Linked DNA regions of Arabidopsis thaliana. The protein of the gene in region 2 purifies or fractionates together with the protein of the main gene of each other region. This does not show direct contact. Each region holds a gene or a part of one and is shown on either strand. Other genes may lie near its edges.

What was found. The genes of interacting proteins can lie anywhere in the genome.
Region 1: the proteins of HSP60-2 (region 2) and PAE1 fractionate together in Arabidopsis thaliana (co-fractionation; one large-scale study listed by BioGRID). This does not show direct contact.
Region 3: the proteins of HSP60-2 (region 2) and AtCDC48C fractionate together in Arabidopsis thaliana (co-fractionation; one large-scale study listed by BioGRID). This does not show direct contact.

The regions. Positions count from the first base shown.
Region 1 is NC_003070.9:20,102,579-20,108,274, forward strand, and holds PAE1 (20S proteasome alpha subunit E1), read right to left. Parts: upstream 3,500-5,696; 5' UTR 3,371-3,499; exon of another isoform or gene 3,283-3,370; 5' UTR 3,215-3,282; coding exon 3,201-3,214; intron 3,107-3,200; coding exon 3,025-3,106; intron 2,805-3,024; coding exon 2,724-2,804; intron 2,546-2,723; coding exon 2,432-2,545; intron 2,347-2,431; coding exon 2,245-2,346; intron 2,132-2,244; coding exon 2,073-2,131; intron 1,981-2,072; coding exon 1,878-1,980; intron 1,782-1,877; coding exon 1,716-1,781; intron 1,646-1,715; coding exon 1,553-1,645; 3' UTR 1,178-1,552; downstream 1-1,177. Other genes in the region: PME1 (pectin methylesterase 1), read left to right, coding at 1-38, 204-880; AT1G53860 (Remorin family protein), read right to left, coding at 4,587-4,811, 5,430-5,511, 5,595-5,696. UniProt on the Arabidopsis thaliana protein: The proteasome is a multicatalytic proteinase complex which is characterized by its ability to cleave peptides with Arg, Phe, Tyr, Leu, and Glu adjacent to the leaving group at neutral or slightly basic pH.
Region 2 is NC_003071.7:14,073,528-14,081,323, reverse strand, and holds HSP60-2 (heat shock protein 60-2), read left to right. Parts: upstream 1-2,551; 5' UTR 2,552-2,755; coding exon 2,756-2,793; intron 2,794-3,044; coding exon 3,045-3,069; intron 3,070-3,149; coding exon 3,150-3,281; intron 3,282-3,443; coding exon 3,444-3,603; intron 3,604-3,728; coding exon 3,729-4,000; intron 4,001-4,080; coding exon 4,081-4,185; intron 4,186-4,263; coding exon 4,264-4,350; intron 4,351-4,451; coding exon 4,452-4,541; intron 4,542-4,638; coding exon 4,639-4,719; intron 4,720-4,815; coding exon 4,816-4,884; intron 4,885-4,963; coding exon 4,964-5,041; intron 5,042-5,152; coding exon 5,153-5,248; intron 5,249-5,341; coding exon 5,342-5,441; intron 5,442-5,534; coding exon 5,535-5,638; intron 5,639-5,720; coding exon 5,721-5,826; intron 5,827-5,940; coding exon 5,941-6,019; intron 6,020-6,095; coding exon 6,096-6,231; 3' UTR 6,232-6,557; downstream 6,558-7,796. Other genes in the region: YUC7 (YUCCA 7), read left to right, coding at 1-51, 177-548, 689-913; AT2G33220 (GRIM-19 protein), read right to left, coding at 823-919, 1,399-1,539, 1,621-1,692, 2,136-2,350. UniProt on the Arabidopsis thaliana protein: Implicated in mitochondrial protein import and macromolecular assembly. May facilitate the correct folding of imported proteins.
Region 3 is NC_003076.8:808,653-815,485, forward strand, and holds AtCDC48C (ATPase, AAA-type, CDC48 protein), read right to left. Parts: upstream 4,642-6,833; 5' UTR 4,482-4,641; coding exon 4,453-4,481; intron 4,307-4,452; coding exon 4,144-4,306; intron 3,885-4,143; coding exon 3,656-3,884; intron 3,557-3,655; coding exon 1,854-3,556; intron 1,750-1,853; exon of another isoform or gene 1,748-1,749; coding exon 1,439-1,747; 3' UTR 1,178-1,438; downstream 1-1,177. Other genes in the region: AT5G03330 (Cysteine proteinases superfamily protein), read left to right, coding at 88-162, 257-330, 415-463, 565-649, 748-804, 901-956; AT5G03345 (membrane magnesium transporter-like protein), read left to right, coding at 5,544-5,620, 5,722-5,770, 5,872-6,063. UniProt on the Arabidopsis thaliana protein: Probably functions in cell division and growth processes. Interacts with certain SNAREs as part of specialized membrane fusion events where vesicles from the same organelle fuse (homotypic fusion).

The DNA of each region.
Region 1 (5,696 bases), on a different chromosome or scaffold from region 2:
CGTCGACGGGACTCCTACTTACGAAACGGCGACGTTTGGTGAGTCCTCTTCTTCCCTTGTTCCTTATTATTATCTTTGATTAAGTTGTTAAGATTAGTGAAGAGGTCAAATTTGATTTGGTTTAGGTAAGAACAAAAAAGACTTGACATTGTTACATAGTTTACCAATTTAGCTATGGTTGTTAAGTTTCTCTTTTGATGCAGCTATACAAGGCAAAGGATTTATAATGAAGGATATTGGAATCATAAACACCGCGGGAGCAGCAAAACACCAAGCTGTGGCATTCCGATCAGGCTCTGATTTCTCAGTCTATTACCAATGCTCATTCGATGGTTTTCAAGACACTCTTTACCCTCACTCCAACCGCCAATTCTACCGTGACTGCGACGTTACTGGGACAATCGACTTCATTTTCGGAAGTGCTGCGGTCGTTTTCCAAGGCTGCAAAATCATGCCTCGCCAGCCTCTTTCTAACCAATTCAACACCATAACCGCTCAGGGCAAAAAAGATCCGAACCAAAGCTCGGGGATGTCGATTCAACGATGCACTATCTCCGCAAACGGCAATGTGATTGCTCCCACGTATCTTGGCCGGCCGTGGAAGGAGTTTTCCACGACGGTTATTATGGAGACGGTGATTGGAGCAGTGGTTCGACCGTCCGGGTGGATGTCATGGGTTTCTGGAGTTGATCCACCAGCAAGTATTGTCTACGGAGAGTATAAGAATACGGGCCCGGGTTCAGATGTAACGCAGAGAGTTAAATGGGCTGGATATAAACCGGTTATGTCGGACGCCGAGGCTGCGAAGTTTACAGTGGCTACGCTTTTACACGGAGCTGATTGGATACCGGCAACAGGAGTGATCAATCAGCTATCTTAATATAGTGACAATACAATTGGATTCGTAGCTTGTTTTTGAAAACATCCGGTTGTGATCTACTTTATATTTGTTTGACACTTATGCATGATCTGTAATTTTTTCCAACATAGTTGTATTTTGTGTATCCCCTAATACGATATCTTCTTGATGTAGAACTATCAAAGCTACTCGCTTTTTGTAGCTCACACCTTGAACTCGAATTATAACACAACGATGATACTGTTACTAACCATTACTCACCTTCATATCCTTGTCATCGGGACATTGTCGACGATGTTACTAACAAACGGGATGATCATAAATCCGATAAAAATCTAATTATCTGATGGCGATTAATTAGGAGCCGGCTCCTAAACAAAAATCTAACTCAATACTAATCTATCCACACTAAACAAAACCAGAATAAACAAGATTAACTTGTGGAGCAAGCCAGAATAAATCTATCCATATAGTCAGGACAAAGCCAAGTCGAAGAGCAAGTAACAAAACGTAAGTGGTAGGAAAGGAAATTTTATAAGTCACAAATCCGAAAGGTTATTGAATGACATGGGAGCCAAAAGATTCTCTTACACAACCGACTAAAATGTGACATGATCCTCAATCTAACAGACAAAAGTAACAAGTTTTGTGACACAAGCTGATAGGTAAATTACCCAAATTGAGTTTTTTCAATCAAAGACGAGCGATGACTGCTTCGACTTCTTGTGGAGTGTAGAGATGATAAGCTGGTGCTACCTTGGCAATATCCACGTTATTTGGAGTCACCTATCACCAACCAATACAATTAGATTGAGCAAGAACTTCTGTTTACAGTTTTGGATTGTAAAATTTGTACCTTTTCTTCCATAACTTGCTTTAGGATAGATACAGCGATAGTCTCAGCTTCTTGTAGAGACAAATCCTGCAACAAGTTAATGAAACTAAAGGTTTTAATGGCAAATAAAGTGATGTAATCAAATAATTTATTGAAAAACAATTGGGAAAAAGTTCAAGTTACTTTGTTGAATTGCTCTTGAAGAGAGCTATCAGCTCCTTCAGAACCTGAACCAATTGCCTTTGCATTGCACTGCCAGAATGTTCCTGAAGGATCAGTGTAGTACCTGTAACAAGACAGAGTCATTTACAAGAAGATAAACTAACTTACACAAGTGAACCATTTCAGTAGAAGAAATCCAACTGAAGGAGAACTTACAAGCTTGGTCCATTTTCATCATGGCCAGCAATGAGAAGAGATACTCCAAACGGCCGAGACTGTAGTCACATTAATGACAAAGAGAATCAGTACACACAATACAACGACTAAATATGGATATCCAACTTATCAAGGTTTTGTTCTAATCAGTAATTCCAATTTTGATTATTACCATTGATTCTTCCTCTCCTTCACCAAACCGTAAAGCCAGATCACACAGTGCTTGTGTTGTGGACTCTACAGTCATCGGCTCACCATACGAGAATCTATGGTTCTGTACAAGAGCAAAAGAAGCCGTCAATAACACATAAAAGACCTGTTGAAGCTAAAAGAAAAGACCCTAGAGACAGAAACCTTACTTGAGTTTCAACTCTAGCATGCTCAACAAGTGTGCGCGCGTCAGCAATTAAACCGCTCATAGCACAACCAATATGGTCATCAATTTCCATAATCTTCTCCACACTGCTCGGTTCCTGGGGAAAAAGAAAAAGCATTTAACATATACTGAGAAAGCTAATATCACCATAACTAACATAGAAAGCTTATATGCTTCTGCTTGATCATATCATCAGATTCAATTCAAATTGTTCCAAAATAGTGAATCACAAGAAAAATTCTGAAAAACATAGAATTCAAAGTTAGCAAGCAAACCAGCAATGGCGACGTGATACGCTTCTCGACAGCAAGCACAACTCCTTCTTTTGTCTTTACTCCAATTGCAGTAGAACCAAGCTGCAACAAAATTCAACACTCATCAGAGTCTCAACAAAATTCAACAATCCCTTTTACAAATTTGAAATGCAAACTACATCGATTAAACAAGGAAATGTGAGCTAGAACTTGTGCAAATAAGCTAAAGCAATCAAAGAAAACCGTAAATCAACCATTACCCTTTCTTCAAAATTTCTCGATTTCCATAGGAAACTAACAAATTGAGGAATCGAAAAGTTACCTTGATAGCTTCAATGGCATATTCCACTTGAAATAGCCTTCCTTCTGGAGAAAAAGTGTTCACTCCTCTGTCATACTCAGTTCTTCGCACAACAAAATCAGAAACCACCATAAGCAAAACAAACGATTGAAGTAAAGGAAGAAAATTTCAATGAACCCAGAAGTAGATAGAGATACCTAGTGAGAAACATCTTCTTCTTCTCTTCCGATTTCGATCTGCAAAACCTCTTAAAGTCCTTCGCACAACGGAATCAAAACCCTAGAAAAACAACGGATCTGAGTTAATCCAGAGATTCAGAGAAAATAAAAATCATCACAATGAACTTGTTGAGAGTATAGAATCAAACCAGCTAATTGATCTGCGAATCGGAGAATAAACAGAAGCTTTTGCTCTCTTTTTAGCTTTCAAAGACGCACTTCTTCTTGAAGAACAAGTTAGATTGTTTCTAAACGCAGCGTTTTTTATAATGGGCTTTCATGGGCCTAACTATATTAAGCCTGGGTCACCCAATTAGGCCTTTCTTTGTATTTTTGAAAAATTATGAGACAGCTATAGAACTGACTGGAATTTGAACATGTTCCAATTTATCTCAATGTCAGAAGTTAAGTGTAACAATAAAAGAAAAAGACAAAAATTGGCAGTCCAGGTTATTATTTTTTTGCTGTACACAAATAAATGTTTTTTTTAGAAATAATTAGTTTTAGTGAATAAAACCAAACAGAAAAGTACAAAATAATTGAAAGAGTGTTGTCTCGTAAAAGTATGGGAACGATGAAAAGCTGTGACTTGTTGCGAGACTTCTTCTCCTTCCAGACGCAAAAGTTTGTCTTTGGTCAGTCTCTCTTATTTCTCTAAACACTTTTGCATGATAACAACTATTCGAATTTCGTTACTAAAAGACAACAAGAACAAAACTCCTTATATATATTAATGGAAATAGTCTTCACTAGTGTTTGTGTTTTTTCCTACCAATTTTAGAACTCCAAAAAAAAAAAAAAAACTTATATATTCTAGTGATTTGTTCTAGTACACTTATGTTTAGGTTTTGGTTTCGATCTCTTTCGATTTAGGCTTTAAAATTTCTGTTTTGTAATGTGTTCATGTTTCCCCTTTATAGGGTTTTAGACTCCAAAAAATTTACGTTTTCCTCCAGCTTTAGTTTTCAAGGACTTTTCTCTCGTACGTCGACTTTAGTTTCCGATGACTTTTCTTTCGTCCATCGGCTTAGCTTCCCTTGTTTGAAATTTGTATTTCACCATGGTTCCAAAACAAGTTTCAGATGAAAGAAAAAAAAAGTTCTAGTACACTTATTTTATACCACTCAAGTTCAACGCACAAAATTACAATTCTATGTTCAACTTTTTTTCGTTTAATTCTGCAAATTAATTTACAGAAAAAAATCCGTTTTTTTGAAAAGAAGTTTTGCGATTCGTTATTCCATATCGGCTTTTTACTTTCTTGCATAAACAATAAACGAACATACATGTTGATAATTGAAACACATAAACAGTAATTTCTTGTGTTTGTTTATGTGTATTTTACTCTCTTTTACTTTGACTGAGTTAATGACAAGTATTATTGCAAGGTAGACAACCACATGAGCTACGGCCGGTAACCAAATAGCCTCGGCGGTTTGTCAATTTCCTCGCCGTCTCGGCCGCTTTCTGCATCTGCTCAACATGTTGCTGCCTCGCCGTAGCTCTCCAATCTTCTGCTCTCCGGTGCACCATATCCATTCTCTTCATTAATTTCTCCTCTAAATTTGATCTCATCTTCTGTATTTTCACCTACAACAATAATTACCACCCCAAATATCACACATTAATTATTTAAAACTTCATCACTCAACTACATTTATGGACTATTAATTATGATTATATAGCTAGATAATTATGATTAATAGTTAATAATTAAATTTTAGTCTCCAAATTCTCAAGAGAGGAAATTACTAATTTTTTCACATGGGACTTGCACAAATTACAAGTACGACTATCATGTAGCTACTACATAACCACCAAAATCGCAGACATTAATTCTTGAAAATTAATCATTTCAATATAGCTACATTTATTTTTAAAGTTTAATCCAAATTATGTAGCTAGATGATAGATGATTGATAATTTAATCTAAGACTCCAATTTCCCAAGAGAGTAAATCAATCTTTTCACATGGGACTTGCACAAATTACAAGTACAGGCTACAAAGATGTCATCCCAATTTTAAAATTAGAAACTCAAAGACTTTTGCCTAATAAAGCAACAAAGACTAGTCAATGAAACTAAGTAAAGGACTCCGAACATTACTCTAATATTGGCGCGTGGCTCCACAATTCCGTTAGAACATAACAAAATCCGTATTTCTACACCGTATATCTCAACAAAATATACGTATACACATACACATACCTCAAGCTTTCTAGATTGAGCTTCGGCTTTAGCGTTTTCAAGATTAACCCATGCTTGAATTTTGGCCTCTTCTCTTTGATACCTTCAAAAAAAATTCAACTTTTCAATTTTCATAATTTCATCAAGATTTTTTTTTTCACCATCGTCAAGATTTTAAGTTCAGACCTTTGACAAAACTTGATCTTGTCGTCTTCATCATCCCATAAAGGAGCTTTAGATTCAGACACACTTCTCCTTAACTCACTCTCCATATCGAAATGTCTTAAA
Region 2 (7,796 bases):
CTTGATCTATGCAATCATGATGCGAGCCCATCAATGGTCGTTCGAAGCTCCGTAAGTAAAATTCAGTAAATTATACCCACCAAGTTACGAAAAACAGAGCACCCTGATTCTTAGTAGCTCCTCTGTTTAAAACAGAGCATCTGATAGTTATACTCTGTTTTTCCTTGTTCGATCAGGTTCATGTATTACCGAGAGAAGTTCTTGGGAAGTCGACGTTCGAGTTAAGTGTAACAATGATGAAATGGATGCCGGTTTGGCTCGTGGACAAGACTCTTCTCGTTCTCACAAGGTTACTTCTAGGGAACACCGATAAGTATGGGCTCAAGAGGCCTGAAATTGGACCGTTAGAGCTGAAGAACACCGCAGGTAAAACTCCCGTGCTAGACATCGGAGCCATTTCAATGATCAAATCAGGAAAGATCAAAATCGTAGCGGGAATAGCTAAGTTTGGTCCGGGAAAGGTCGAACTCGTGGATGGTCGAGTTCTGCAGATTGATTCAGTGATTCTTGCCACTGGTTACAGAAGCAATGTCCCTTCATGGCTTAAGGTAGACAAAAGTATTATCTTTTTCAGATTTTTGTCTCAAAAGATAACATTTTATAGGACCATAGAATACCGGTATTGATAGTTATGGGAAGTTTGATAAAAACTAAGACGTTGATTGGTGATTGATTTATTGTTATGCAGGAAAACGACTTGGGTGAGATTGGGATAGAGAAAAACCCATTTCCAAAAGGGTGGAAAGGGAAGGCTGGATTGTATGCGGTGGGATTCACCGGAAGAGGACTCTCAGGTGCATCGTTCGATGCAATGAGTGTAGCTCATGACATTGCCAATAGCTGGAAAGAAGAAACTAAGCAACAGATCAAAACTGTCGCTACTCGCCACCGTCGTTGTATTTCACACTTTTGATTTTCACTGTTTATACGAAAACATATATGAGAAGAGGTAAAAAAGAGAGGATCGATAGTGTTATGTGATGTGAAAATCAAAGAGATAAGCCCACTCCATGAGAGTATAACTGTGAAATGTGTTTGAGCTTATTTTCTTGTAAGGAGGATGTGGCTCCATGTATTTAACGTATTCTTTAACATTCCAACTTATCTTTTGTTAGCAAATGTGTTTGATTAGAGCTGATCTAGAAAGTTTAAAACATGATTAGTTTAAACAAAATATATGAACATGTGTCTGAAACTGATTTCGTCATTGACAGAAATAAGTGAATGAGGGAAAAATACCGAAAACATTCCTCCGTACCGTACCAGCAATACATGAACTGTGTATGTATCATTTCTCTTATTATACGATGGAAATATAGAGACAACAAACATCAAGGTTCTAAAATGCTTAAACAAACATTCATTCATCATCATCAAAAGGAGCCATTGAAATTTTACCAGACATCAGGACGAAGCTCTCCGGTAGCTGGAGGCATCCAACGACCAGAATTGTACACGTTTTCACCGACTTTCCATCCAGGAACATCCTTCATCACATCCGCCTCGTATTCTAGATACTTCTTCCACTCAGACACAAACCTATTTACAAATCAACACGTGGTGATCCAATGTGAGAGTTTGTACCACACAAGCAAACATAACTTCTTTTGTGAATCCTACCTTTCATCTTCTTCAGCTTGAAGAATCGGTAGAATTGCTCTACGTGCAGCGTACTTCTCTTCCTTCAACGCCCTATCATCACAGCAATCTTCATTAAAACTTTGGAGTTGATACATTGTGCTCATTTTGACACTTTTGTCATCATTATGCAATTGAGAGTCTAACAATAGAAGACTATTAGAGAATGTCACTTACACACACCAAGAAAGATAACACTGTGTTGTCTTATTCGTTGCAAATTACTCCAAATCGACACTAATCAAGCTAAATAACTCACAATGTGACCATCTAAAAACCAATATGCAACTAACCACTAGTATATCATCTTGCAATTTGATTGCTTTCTTCATCACAGCTCAAGAGATCGTTAATTAGTAACCAATTTCGAGACTAACCACACAAATTTATAAGCATCAATCCCAAATTGTCTTAAGATTCAATCCCAAATTACTCAAAATTTCACAATAGAGAAAAGCCTAACCAAACTCAAATTCCACATCTCATTATCTAATTACCTGCGGATTTTGTTGCCCTGACCAACTTGGTACATGCCCCAAGCAAAAGCACCGGAAACGGTAAGGAAAATAGCCATGGCGCTAGGTCCCGTGTTGGAGATCCGGCGAGCATATCGGACCGGCGCGAATCCACCAGGTGGTGGACCATCCTGAAGCAACGGCATATCCTTCACACTCGCCATTCCTGGCTTCTTCCTTATCATCGCCTCCGTCATCTTCTTCCTCGATTGATCCCCAAATCGATCTTTGATTCGTTAATCAGTGTGTGTTCTAGGGATTCTGAGAAAGACAATCAGAAATGAAATGAAATGAAAAATCTTTTTTTTGGTGACTTTTTTTTTAAAATGTTGTAATAATGAACTGGGCTTTAAAAGGCCCATATTAAAATAGTACCGGGTCAAAACTCGAACCGGATCCAAAACCGGAGGCTAAAACTCGACCAAGCAATGATGAGCTTGGAGAAAACGTAAAACCCTAAACCCTACTGCTTATAGAATCTTCGACGATCTGCTTCATTTCTCCTCATCTACGAGTGAGAGAATTTGTCAATTTAGCTTCTTTAGTTCGGTCTGATCTGAATTAATTGCAATCTTCTCGGTTGTGTGAGAGAATCAATCACCATGTATCGGCTTGTCTCCAACGTTGCTTCCAAAGCTAGGTAGATCTATTCGACTTTTTGGTTTTCTTTGTGTATATGATTCCAATGCTGCTTTATTTTCTGTGAATTTGTTTCTGATTGGATCCTCGAAATCGGAAAGTTGCGAGAAACTGTTGGGAATTGAATCGGATTTTGATCGGATTGAATTGAATATTTCTCTGCCATTGGAGAGTTTAGCATCTTCTATTTTCTTTGTATTTCTGGAAGTTGCTTCATTTATTGATGGGATTTATTTTTCTTTGTTTCAACAGGATTGCCAGAAAGTGTACAAGCCAGGTTCGTGTTCTTCATTTTGTATCTAATTTGTGGTTTAGCCGTTTGTGGGTATGTATTGATGTGAATTTGTGTATTGTTAGATTGGAAGCAGGCTCAATTCTACTAGGAATTATGCAGCAAAAGACATAAGGTTCGGTGTTGAAGCTCGGGCTTTAATGCTTAGGGGTGTTGAGGATCTTGCTGATGCAGTTAAAGTCACTATGGGACCCAAGGTATAAACTTATGTTTCAGATAATTTCTGTGTAAGAGACTTGTATTGTAAGTGAATCTAGTTAAAAATAGATAACGTGACGACCTATTGACAAGTATCAACAATCGTCTGTTTTGTTACCCTCACACTCTCTGATACTACATGTCTAAAACCATTTTTGAAGGGTCGTAATGTCATCATCGAACAAAGCTGGGGTGCACCAAAGGTGACAAAGGATGGTGTGACTGTTGCCAAGAGCATTGAGTTCAAGGATAGAATTAAGAACGTTGGTGCCAGTCTTGTGAAACAGGTTGCTAACGCCACAAATGACGTAGCTGGTGATGGTAAGTGTTCCCTTTCAATGGATTAAAACGTTTTTTCTGTTTTTGCTAATTGGGTTGTTAGTCTCCTATCTACTCATATTAATCGGTGTTTTTGTATCTGACAAAATATATGGTATGCGTTACAGGAACAACGTGTGCCACAGTCCTTACTAGAGCTATCTTCACGGAAGGTTGTAAATCAGTTGCCGCTGGAATGAATGCAATGGACCTAAGACGTGGTATCAAATTGGCAGTTGATACTGTTGTGACGAACTTGCAGAGCCGAGCACGCATGATTAGCACCTCTGAAGAAATCGCCCAAGTTGGAACAATATCAGCTAATGGAGATAGGGAAATTGGTGAACTGATTGCAAAGGCTATGGAAACTGTCGGCAAAGAGGGAGTGATCACAATTCAAGTGAGTTGAATTTTATCCCTAAATGTCAAATTATTTTGCTTATTCCTTAAGGTGACCAATGTTATCATCTCTTGATTCAGGATGGCAAGACCTTGTTTAATGAGCTGGAAGTTGTTGAGGGTATGAAGATTGACAGGGGATACATCTCCCCGTACTTCATAACTAACCCGAAAACACAAAAATGTGTAAGGATTCCCACCTTGTTACTTTATCAATTTAAGGAATTGCGGATTTAATTTGCTCTGAATGAATATGTGTTGCAGGAACTAGAAGATCCTCTCATTCTTATCCACGAGAAGAAAATTTCCAATATAAACGCAATGGTGAAAGTATTAGAACTGGCCCTCAAGGTATAAACAATTTGGCGATTTCTTCACTGTCAATAGTGTCTGATATTCATTAAGTTACTTTGATCTGAAGATCGAAATTTATTTTCACTGCCATTTTTCAGAAGCAAAGGCCGCTGCTGATCGTTGCTGAGGATGTGGAGAGCGATGCTCTTGCCACCCTAATTCTGAACAAACTTCGTGCTAATATCAAGGTTTTTCTTTTCAGCCTTTTGTTATTTGCCTTTTCCTTACAACGTCTTAGTAAAAAATTAATTTGATTGGATTGATGTACATGGTATTGCTTTATAGGTCTGTGCTGTGAAGGCCCCTGGTTTTGGAGAGAACCGAAAGGCCAATTTACATGATCTAGCTGCCCTCACTGGAGCCCAGGCATGCCCATGTTTCTTTTTATAATAACTGCCAAGACCATCACACCCACACTAATCGGATGAGCCATAATGTGTCTTTGGTGATTTCACTTTGTAGGTAATAACAGAAGAGTTGGGTATGAATCTAGACAACATTGACCTCAGTATGTTTGGAAACTGCAAGAAGGTTCGTTTGGTCCAATTCCTTCTGCTTTCTCTCTTTCTCCCTTGTACCTTCTGATAACTTGGTTTTCATTTGTTAACAGGTAACGGTATCCAAAGATGATACTGTTGTTCTCGATGGGGCTGGTGACAAGCAAGCAATTGGGGAACGATGTGAACAGGTTAGCGTGTTTTTCGCTTTTTTATCATTTAGTGGTTCAGTGTCATATACCTTTGCCCTTTTTTCCAACTGGTAGTTTTAATATGTTTTGAATTTTTATTAAACCACGCAGATACGATCCATGGTTGAAGCAAGCACTTCTGATTATGACAAGGAGAAGTTGCAAGAAAGGTTGGCTAAGCTTTCGGGTGGTGTTGCTGTACTAAAGGTAATGTACACCTCTTGTGAACATCAGACTAATAGGCTATTAATGCATTATTAGTTTATTACTAATGTCGAGATTACTCATATGGGTTTTTAGATTGGAGGAGCAAGTGAGACAGAAGTTAGTGAAAAGAAAGATAGAGTAACGGATGCTCTAAATGCCACTAAAGCAGCCGTAGAGGAGGGTATTGTTCCAGGTATAATCTATCCCAAATCTAAAACAAAATTTGGTTGAATCCCTTAAGAAAATTGCGTGAGAAGAGAATTATATTACTTTGTGTGTATTACAGGTGGTGGTGTTGCTCTTTTGTATGCTTCGAAAGAACTTGAGAAGCTTTCCACAGCTAACTTTGATCAGAAAATTGGTGTTCAAATCATTCAAAACGCACTCAAGGTGTTTCTCTCATCACATTGTTCATCCTCGCTAGCATAAACAGCTTCTAGAATCTTACACACAAAATCTTTCTTTGATGCAGACACCTGTTTACACGATTGCTTCCAATGCTGGAGTCGAGGGTGCAGTTGTCGTAGGCAAGCTTTTGGAACAAGATAATCCTGACCTTGGTTATGATGCTGCTAAAGGTTACACTCTTATATGCATTAGATAATTCACTTTCTATAGTTCTTGATCCACCTTGTTATATATTTCCCTATATTCCGAAATCTGAACTAGCTTCTTTTGGCATTTACTTTCAGGAGAATATGTGGACATGATAAAGGCTGGTATTATCGATCCTTTGAAAGTGATCAGAACCGCATTAGTTGATGCTGCAAGGTACACAAAGATTGAAAATTGGTTGTCCAATTTTGTATTTTATTGCAATGTTTTGCTAATTTATTCTATTGGTTAGTGTTTCGTCTTTGTTGACAACGACGGAAGCAGTTGTGACTGAGATTCCAACGAAAGAGGTAGCATCTCCGGGTATGGGCGGTGGTGGCATGGGCGGCATGGGTGGCATGGGCGGTATGGGAGGAATGGGTTTCTGAGGAGAACTATAAACCCTGAGTAGGGTTCTTTGGAATCTGTTGTGAGAGATGCTACGGTTGGTTCATCCACAAGACACTAATGTATTCTTTAATCATGATTGGTAGAGAGAGACCTTCAGATTTTCCGTGATTTTCAATTCACAAACGATTTATAAACTATTTTGAAGAAGATCCTTTTCCGATTCATGCAAATTTCTTCCAAAAATAATTCAGATTAGAGAGTTCAGTGAAACATCAAGTAGGTTGTGTTTGCGCATATGGAGGAGATTCCTTAGTTCTCGCCAACTATCACCAAACCCTTATATCTTATTAACACGATATTTAGCTGTTTATTTATATGTGGTTCAAGTAACAGACTACTTATTTCAAATAAAAAATGGAAAAAGCTTTTTTCATAGAACGAAACAAACGATATAGTGTAGTTTAAAGTATGTTACCCGAAAAAGAAAGCAAATCTACTTAACACGGTCCACAATTCGCGTGGTGAAGAAGGTTATAATTGGGTCCCAAAACATTCATTTCCCCCCAAAAAAAGTCATAATTATGAACCAAACTCTTTTTGTCTTCACGTCTTTGTCCGTTCCATAACCATAGCTTGCCCTACTTATTATAGCAGTAAGCCATAATCAAGGAAACCGTATTTGTATGTAACTTAATATTGTGGATTGATTACAGCTTGGAGGGAATTGATTCAATTTGGCCAGTTGGTCAAACGCAATGGTATAAGTCCACCGAACTAGATGGCAAAAACAAAAACAATTTGAGAATGTTCTTAAAAGTTCCAGTTCAAATGTGTTGTAAATAGTCAAATTCCTTTTACGAACGATATAAAAGTAGTCAAATAGAGATAGGGAATAAAGAAAAATACTTATCTAGATGATGAATTAGCTTAACGAGAAAACTATTAGTATCTGTTTTGGCAAGAAAATTTTATGTCTCGGTTGATTACACACACTTTTTAGTTAAACTACAAGTAATCAATCATAGATTTTACTTTAAGAAAGTTCCACAAACACGACGTGGCTGTCCATTATAACATAACCTCGTGGTCATGGAATGTTTCGTCTTATTTTATTTTTAATATTACACAATGTTCAAAGTTCTCAATTAGCAAGTTTCATGTGGTGTGATGAAAATCATTAACCATAAAAACCAACACTCAAGCGGAAATCCAACTCTCTTAAATTAAAATAATTCACTCAAAATTTTATTTTCATTTGGAGATAAAAATATAAATTGGTCAAAAGCAAAATAAAGATAGAGGTCATCAAATCGTACGGCTAGAAACAGAAGTGCACAGAGTTATTACGATGAAAACGTTACACAGAATCATTTTCATACACCAAAAGCTCTTTCTTTTTGTATTTTAAATCGAGTTTCGAACCGCTCTGCTTCTTCTTTACTCTCTGCGTGATTATCGTGTGAGAACATTGAACTCACACTTCAACTCTCAAGCTTCTTCTTCCTTCGCCTTCTTCTCATTCATTTGCTTCTGTGTCTAATTTTACATAGCGAAATTCCAGCCATAGCCAAAAAAAAAAGGGTCAGATTTTTTAAACGGATTT
Region 3 (6,833 bases), on a different chromosome or scaffold from region 2:
CATACGCAGATCGTTCTGGAAGAATTAGTTAGATTCTGAGTCATCATTTTGAATCTTGAATGCTCTCTCCCGATTTTTTCTTTTCAGTTCCGTGCTTTAGCTGATCAACTGTACAAAACCGCAGATCGCCATAAACATGTTCGACGACAAATAGTAAAACAGGTTTGGTGATCTATTTGCTCTTGAGAATCTTTGCTAGCTTCCATAAGTTGCATGAACTCATTCTTTTTTTTTCAATTTTCATCTTCTGGTTTAGCTAAAATCTCGTCCAGATTCTTATCAAGGATACGTTCCTATGGACTTCTCTGATTATCTAAGAAAGATGTCTCGGTAAAATATCTTCTCTTAGTGAACTCCATAACCGCATTTGCTGCCAATTCTCTTGTTAAAGCCTAGTGTTAAAATTTGGAACAGGAGCGGCGAATGGGGCGATCATGTGACATTACAGGCAGCTGCAGATGCGGTATTCATTCTTAAATCTTGTAAAAAAAAGATGCAGTGATCTTCCTTTTACTTTCCTCAGTTCATAGTTAATCAGTTTGGTGAAACTTTTTAATATTGCAGTATCGGGTGAAAATAGTAGTCCTAACATCGTTCAAAGATACATGTTACATTGAAATTCTTCCTACCTCCCAAGAATCCAAAGGAGGTAAAGAGTTTTCTTTCACTGTAAATTTTGTTTGTCTACTATACCTCTCTCTTGCTGGTTATTACAGTGATCTTTTATTTTGCTCTTGTTGTCTGCAGTAATCTTCTTGAGCTTCTGGGCAGAGGTTCATTACAACGCCATCTACTTAAACAGAGGTAACTTCGAGAAACCTTTTGTTTCACAGACTATGTTTCGCTTCTTTCCTCTTCATCTTAATTCTCTTCTTCTTCTCCATATTTTTTGGTGTTCAGATACATCTGAAACAGAGCTACAGAGGAAGAGAAAATGGTGGCGTTTCGGAAACTAGACAGACCATTGGATCATCATCACTGGGTTACATTAATATTTATTGACTTGAGAGAGATGTTCTTAGACATAGTCCCTTCGTAGAGAGAGAGAGGATGCTGAACAGAGCTCACAGCTTCAAAGCCTTACAATAATATTATTTTCTTCTTTGAAAGAAAGAAAATTTTCTTTTAAAAAAACAGAATTAACAAATTAAATAAAATACACAAAATTTTGATCATTTCCTTATTCAGCTTGTTAACGTTCCAAATTCTAACGGTTCCAACGATTGATTTTTTTCTCGTATATTATAACTTCCTAAGAAATTAACGTTAAGTAACCGATCAAAGGCATTGTGAATGAAATAAACATAGAAATAATTTGCTCAAGTGATTATAAGCTGGCAAACCCAGATGATTTTAAACTGTATCAATCTCGACATCATCCAAAAGAACCTAATTTAAGTTAAAGAAAGAAGAAAAACGATCACTAAGAAATCAAAATCTAACTGTAGAGATCGTCGTCATCAGCTGCAGCTGCAGAAGTGGCAAAGGGATCGGCGGCTGCAACACCAGTGGTGCGTCCGACACCAGCGGTTGAGTCAAACCTGAACTCAGATCCAAACCCTCTGGATTGCTGCAGCGTCTGAGCAAAAGCTTGGTACTTGCGAATATCAGCATCACTCACACTTCTCCTTGCATATTTCATCGACTCTTCGAAATGAGCAGCTCTAATCTCTGAAACTTCATCATCCACCATATCTTCCTCCATGGCCTCTGGATTCTGGCTCCTTCTACGCTCGTTCTCAATATCCTGAGGAACAAAACACACAAAAAAGGGTCAAGATTAGAACAATTAAAACGAATTGGCACTTAAGGTTCCTTAATCACATGTTTCAGGAGGTAATCAAATCACTGACCTTTTCGATGTTTTCTCTGATGGCGTACTTGCAAGCTCTCTGGCAGATCTCGGTGATATCAGCACCACTGAATCCCTGAGTGTACTTTGCGAGTGCAGTAACATCTACATCTTTAGCGACGGGAGATTTTCTCAAGCAGGCCTTAAAGATATTGAGACGGGAATCTTCATCAGGTAGAGGAATGTAGATAAGCTGGTCGAGTCTTCCAGGTCGAAGAAGAGCTGAATCTATGATATCCGGTCTGTTAGTTGCTCCAATAATGAATACCGTCTTCTTTGCATTCATTCCATCCATTTCTGTCAAAAGCTGATTCAACACTCTGTCAGCTGCACCGCCGGCATCACCCGCGCTGTTCCCTCTCTGAGTAGCAATGGAGTCTAGCTCATCGAAAAACAGAACACAAGGAGCAGATTGACGAGCCTTGTCAAAGATTTCTCGGACGTTGGCTTCACTTTCTCCAAACCACATTGTGAGAAGCTCGGGTCCCTTGACACTGATGAAGTTTGCTTGGCACTCGTTTGCTATAGCTTTGGCTAACAGGGTTTTACCACATCCAGGAGGACCGTAGAAAAGAACTCCCTTTGATGGAGACATACCAAACTTCTCGAATTTCTCTGGATGCTCCACAGGGTATTGAACAGTCTCCTGAAGCTCTCTCTTAACATTCTCGAGACCTCCAATATCCTCCCAGGAGACATTTGGAACCTCCACAACAGTTTCACGAAGGGCGGATGGGTTGCTGTTTCCAAGAGCAGTGTGGAAGTGTTCATTAGACACAGCCATGGAATTGAGGATTTCGGCGTCAATTGAGTCATCTTCCAAGTCAATCACATCCATCTTCTCTCTGATACATTGAAGGGCAGCTTCAGTGCATAGAGCTGCAAGATCAGCTCCAACATATCCATGCGTGTCCTTGGAGATTCTTTCTAGATCAACATCTTCAGCTAGCTTCATGTTCTTCGTGTGGATCCTAAGAACTTCAAGACGTCCAATTTCATCAGGAACACCGATATCAATTTCCCTGTCGAATCTTCCAAACCTTCTCAAAGCCGGATCAATACTGTTGGGACGATTTGTTGCTCCCATAACAATAACATGGGCACGTGATTTTAGTCCATCCATAAGCGTAAGGAGCTGAGAGACAATCCTCCTCTCAACCTCACCATTCGTCTTCTCTCTTTTTGGTGCAATAGAGTCAATCTCATCAATGAATATGATAGACGGGGCATTCTTCTCAGCCTCCTCAAATGCTTTCCTGAGGTTGCTCTCACTCTCACCAGCTAGTTTCGACATGATTTCCGGTCCATTGATACAGAAGAAGAATGCTCCGGTTTCATTAGCCACAGCACGAGCAATAAGAGTCTTCCCGGATCCAGGAGGTCCGTAAAGCAGAATTCCCTTTGGTGGCTTCACACCAATTGATTTAAAGAGTTGTGGATGCCTCAAGGGAAGTTCAACCAATTCCCTAATCTGAGCCATCTGTTTCCTGACACCACCAACATCGTCATAACCAACCTCATCAAGCCTTTCTTCGTCCTCCCTCTTAACTGGTTCACCCTCACAGAAAATCTCTGTATCTGGAGCCACCACACAGTACTCAGCAGGATCAGTCTCGATCACTTTGAACTCCACACTCCTCATTCCTCCTCTCACTAGGAAAAGATCTCCCTTCCTCACTGGACGGTACGCCTCCAGAAAGTAAGCTGGTGAAAAAAACAATATAAGTTTAGAAAACACGAACTCCAAAAGACAAGCTAGACTATGATATGAAAGAGAGAATCAAAAGATTAAAGCAAACTTACGTTTCAGGTAAGCATCAAAGAGGTTTCCAGTAACGCCTTCAACTGTATCATCAACAGGCAAGATGTGAACACGCTTTCCATACTTGACATCTGGGCATTGGTGAACAGAAATAACATCTCCCAGCCTAACCCTCAAGTTAGACCTTACAACCTTATTCATTCTGATCTTGGGTTCCTCACATGTTTCATCAGCGAGGGCAATGCATACAGTGTCCTTCCTCTTCTTACCCTGAAAATCCAAAACCCCAATCAAGTAAGTAATCACAGAGATAAAAAGAACAATCCAAACCAATTCTAAACTCAAAAAAAAAAACTTCAGACAAAAAAGTTGTACCCTAACTGAATATGTTTACAAGATCAGACAAAGTAAAAAACATAACTGAATATGTTTACAACATGCTCGTGATATACAGTCAAGACACAGACGATCCAAACCAAGTCTAAACTCAAAACACCCTAACATAGTGACATAAGGAACAAAACCTAACCTTGATGAGAATTGTATCGCCTCGGAAAAGCTGGAGTTTTTCCATGGTAGTAGGATGGAGAGAGACAACAGAGTTGTCATCGTTAATAGCTTCATCGACAACAAGTCGGTTTGGAGACTTCTTCCTCTCTAGAATCGCAGTACTGAAATCCTTCTTAGTTTTCCTGAAACAAATACCCCAGGAAGACAAACAAAATCAGCTTTCAGATGAGATCAAACTAAAAAACCCTATTCTCAATATCGAAAAACCCAAGTAAAAAAATCGAAACTTTATGATCGGAAAACAAAAATCAAAGATCTAAGTACTTACGAGTCGGAGGATTCCGGTTCGTTTGACATAATGATAGCTTAAACTGACAAGAGAGCTCTAAGAAGGAAGTTGGGAAATTTGTTTCTAGAGAGATCGATTGGTGATGATGATGATGATGATGAATGGGATCTCAAGGGAGCTGAACTCGGGATTTTATACGCTCTGTGATTTCCTTCTTGTTGGAAAAATAAGCGACCCTTAACTTTTAAGTTTATCTTGAAAAGTTCCAAAAACTAGGTGTTGTGATAAATACACCCATGTTCCCTTAACATCATATCAATTAATTTATATTATTATATGATTTATCGAGAATCAAAACAAAAATCTACCTATATGAAGAATTAAAAAATTTGATGTAATTTTAAACTTATTTTAATAGTGTGGCGAGGGTACGTAAATGTTTATTAAAAACGTTATGGGGGAAAGTTGAAAATAAAAGTAAAAGAGAGGTGAGGATAACAGTTTTACTTTCTGGTTTTAGCAAACACAAGAAAGGAATAGAAGGTTCTTAGGTAGCGGTACCAAAGCAAGCTACATGTTTTTCTTACTTTTTTATAAATAGAAATTTAATATCTTACCATTTGATTTCTTTGTTCTAAAATAGATTTCCGTTTTTTTTATACGAAGTTATCAACATACGATTCAATTCAATAATTGCAGAAATTTTTGTTTGCATATGAATATATCATCAATATGAAATTCTAAATAAATATTCATAATTATTTATTATACGAAAAAATAATTATTTTCCCAAAAGATAAACCCTTATTGTTGTAAAAAAGTTATCAAACTAACTGAACTTTCATCTAATTAAAAATATTAGTTACTTAAAAAAAAGTTTGGGTTACAAAAGATTAATAGGAATCTAGGATATCATCAATCTAGAACTACGCGCCGTTGTTAGTCTCTTCGATATTAGACGTTGCGCCGTTTTCACTTTGAGATTTGCGATATTATAACTACATGCCGTTTTAAACTCCACTGATCGTCTTCTATTCTAGTTCGATTCTCGACGGAGAATACTCGACGAGAAAATCCAGATCGGGAATCAACTTAGAGAAGAAGAAAATTAAAAAAGAGAACTTCTAAAGATGAATTTGGGGTTCTTAGTTGGAGTTTTCGGCGTTCTTATTCTTTCTCATGCCGCTTATTCAACAATCCAATGTATGTCTACTCTTCCCAATCCAATTCCAGTTCCAATTGAGTCAGATCTACTTTAATTTTCGAGATAGGATCTTGATTTGGGTTTCTCTTGTTTATTTCAGATAGAGGATTGTTGAAGATTATGGAGGAAGAGTTTTCTCGACCACCGATTAATGTGAGTATATAATGATAACGGTTTCTCTTTTCCTCAATTGTGTTTGAATTATATCAGCAATGATTATGCTTTTATATGAATCATGATTGGATTTATTTAAGGTTATTCTGGAGTTGATCATTGGACTAGCTCTGTGTATGTGGGCTGCTTTGACTTTCCCTGGTAAATTTCTCTCGATCCATCCGGATTCTGATGAAAACAGGTTTGTGATCATGTTTCTCTCGAACTCTCTGTTTTGCATCAGTGTTAATCAATCTGAATTCATGTTATCTAGTGAGTGTTTTTACTATTGAATTTTTCTCTGTTCGTACTTTGTTGAACTTGGTGTAGAGTTACTACGGGTCTTATAGAAGCATCTTCTGGCTAGATTTGGTTCAATTATTCAGTTTAATCATGGGTGTTTCTAGTGAATATGTTTTCTTTTGACTGAGAAGGTTTACGGATGTGTTGTTAATCAATTGATTCAAAGAACTTGTGCTCTAGAGATGTTTCGAGGGTCTAGTTTTGATGTCTCTTTAACTCTCTGTTGTGCATCAGTGTTTATCAATCTGAAACATGGAAATTTGGTAGTTATTATATTTCCCGATGATTGAATGACCACCAAAGACTCATGTTTATTGATAAGAAACTGTCGTCTAGAGATGTTCTAGGTCAAACATTGATGTTTCTTTAATACTTTGTGCAGCTAAGGTTTTCTAAAATGCAGGACATTCAAAGGGACATTTTCTAGTTTATATTTGGTCCAGTTACGATTATGGGTTTCAAGAGCTTTAACCAGTTCTGCTCCTGGCTAATTCAATCAGTTTATATTTGTTTCATTGGCTCTTTAGACCCACTTTGGTTCCTTCTATGTCGCAGCCTCTCCCCTACCTTTTTGTACATTAGGTTCTTGAATTGGTTTTGAGTTTGGCTTTTGCTAGATAAAGTGAATATCTCCTGTTAACTGGTTTCTTTCAAAAAATTTGCAGGGCGGTGTTTTTACCAGATAATTCGGATTTCATGATATTCAATCACCGTGGCAGACTGTTCCCACCGCAGATCGACATGAAGTTTTGAATTTTTA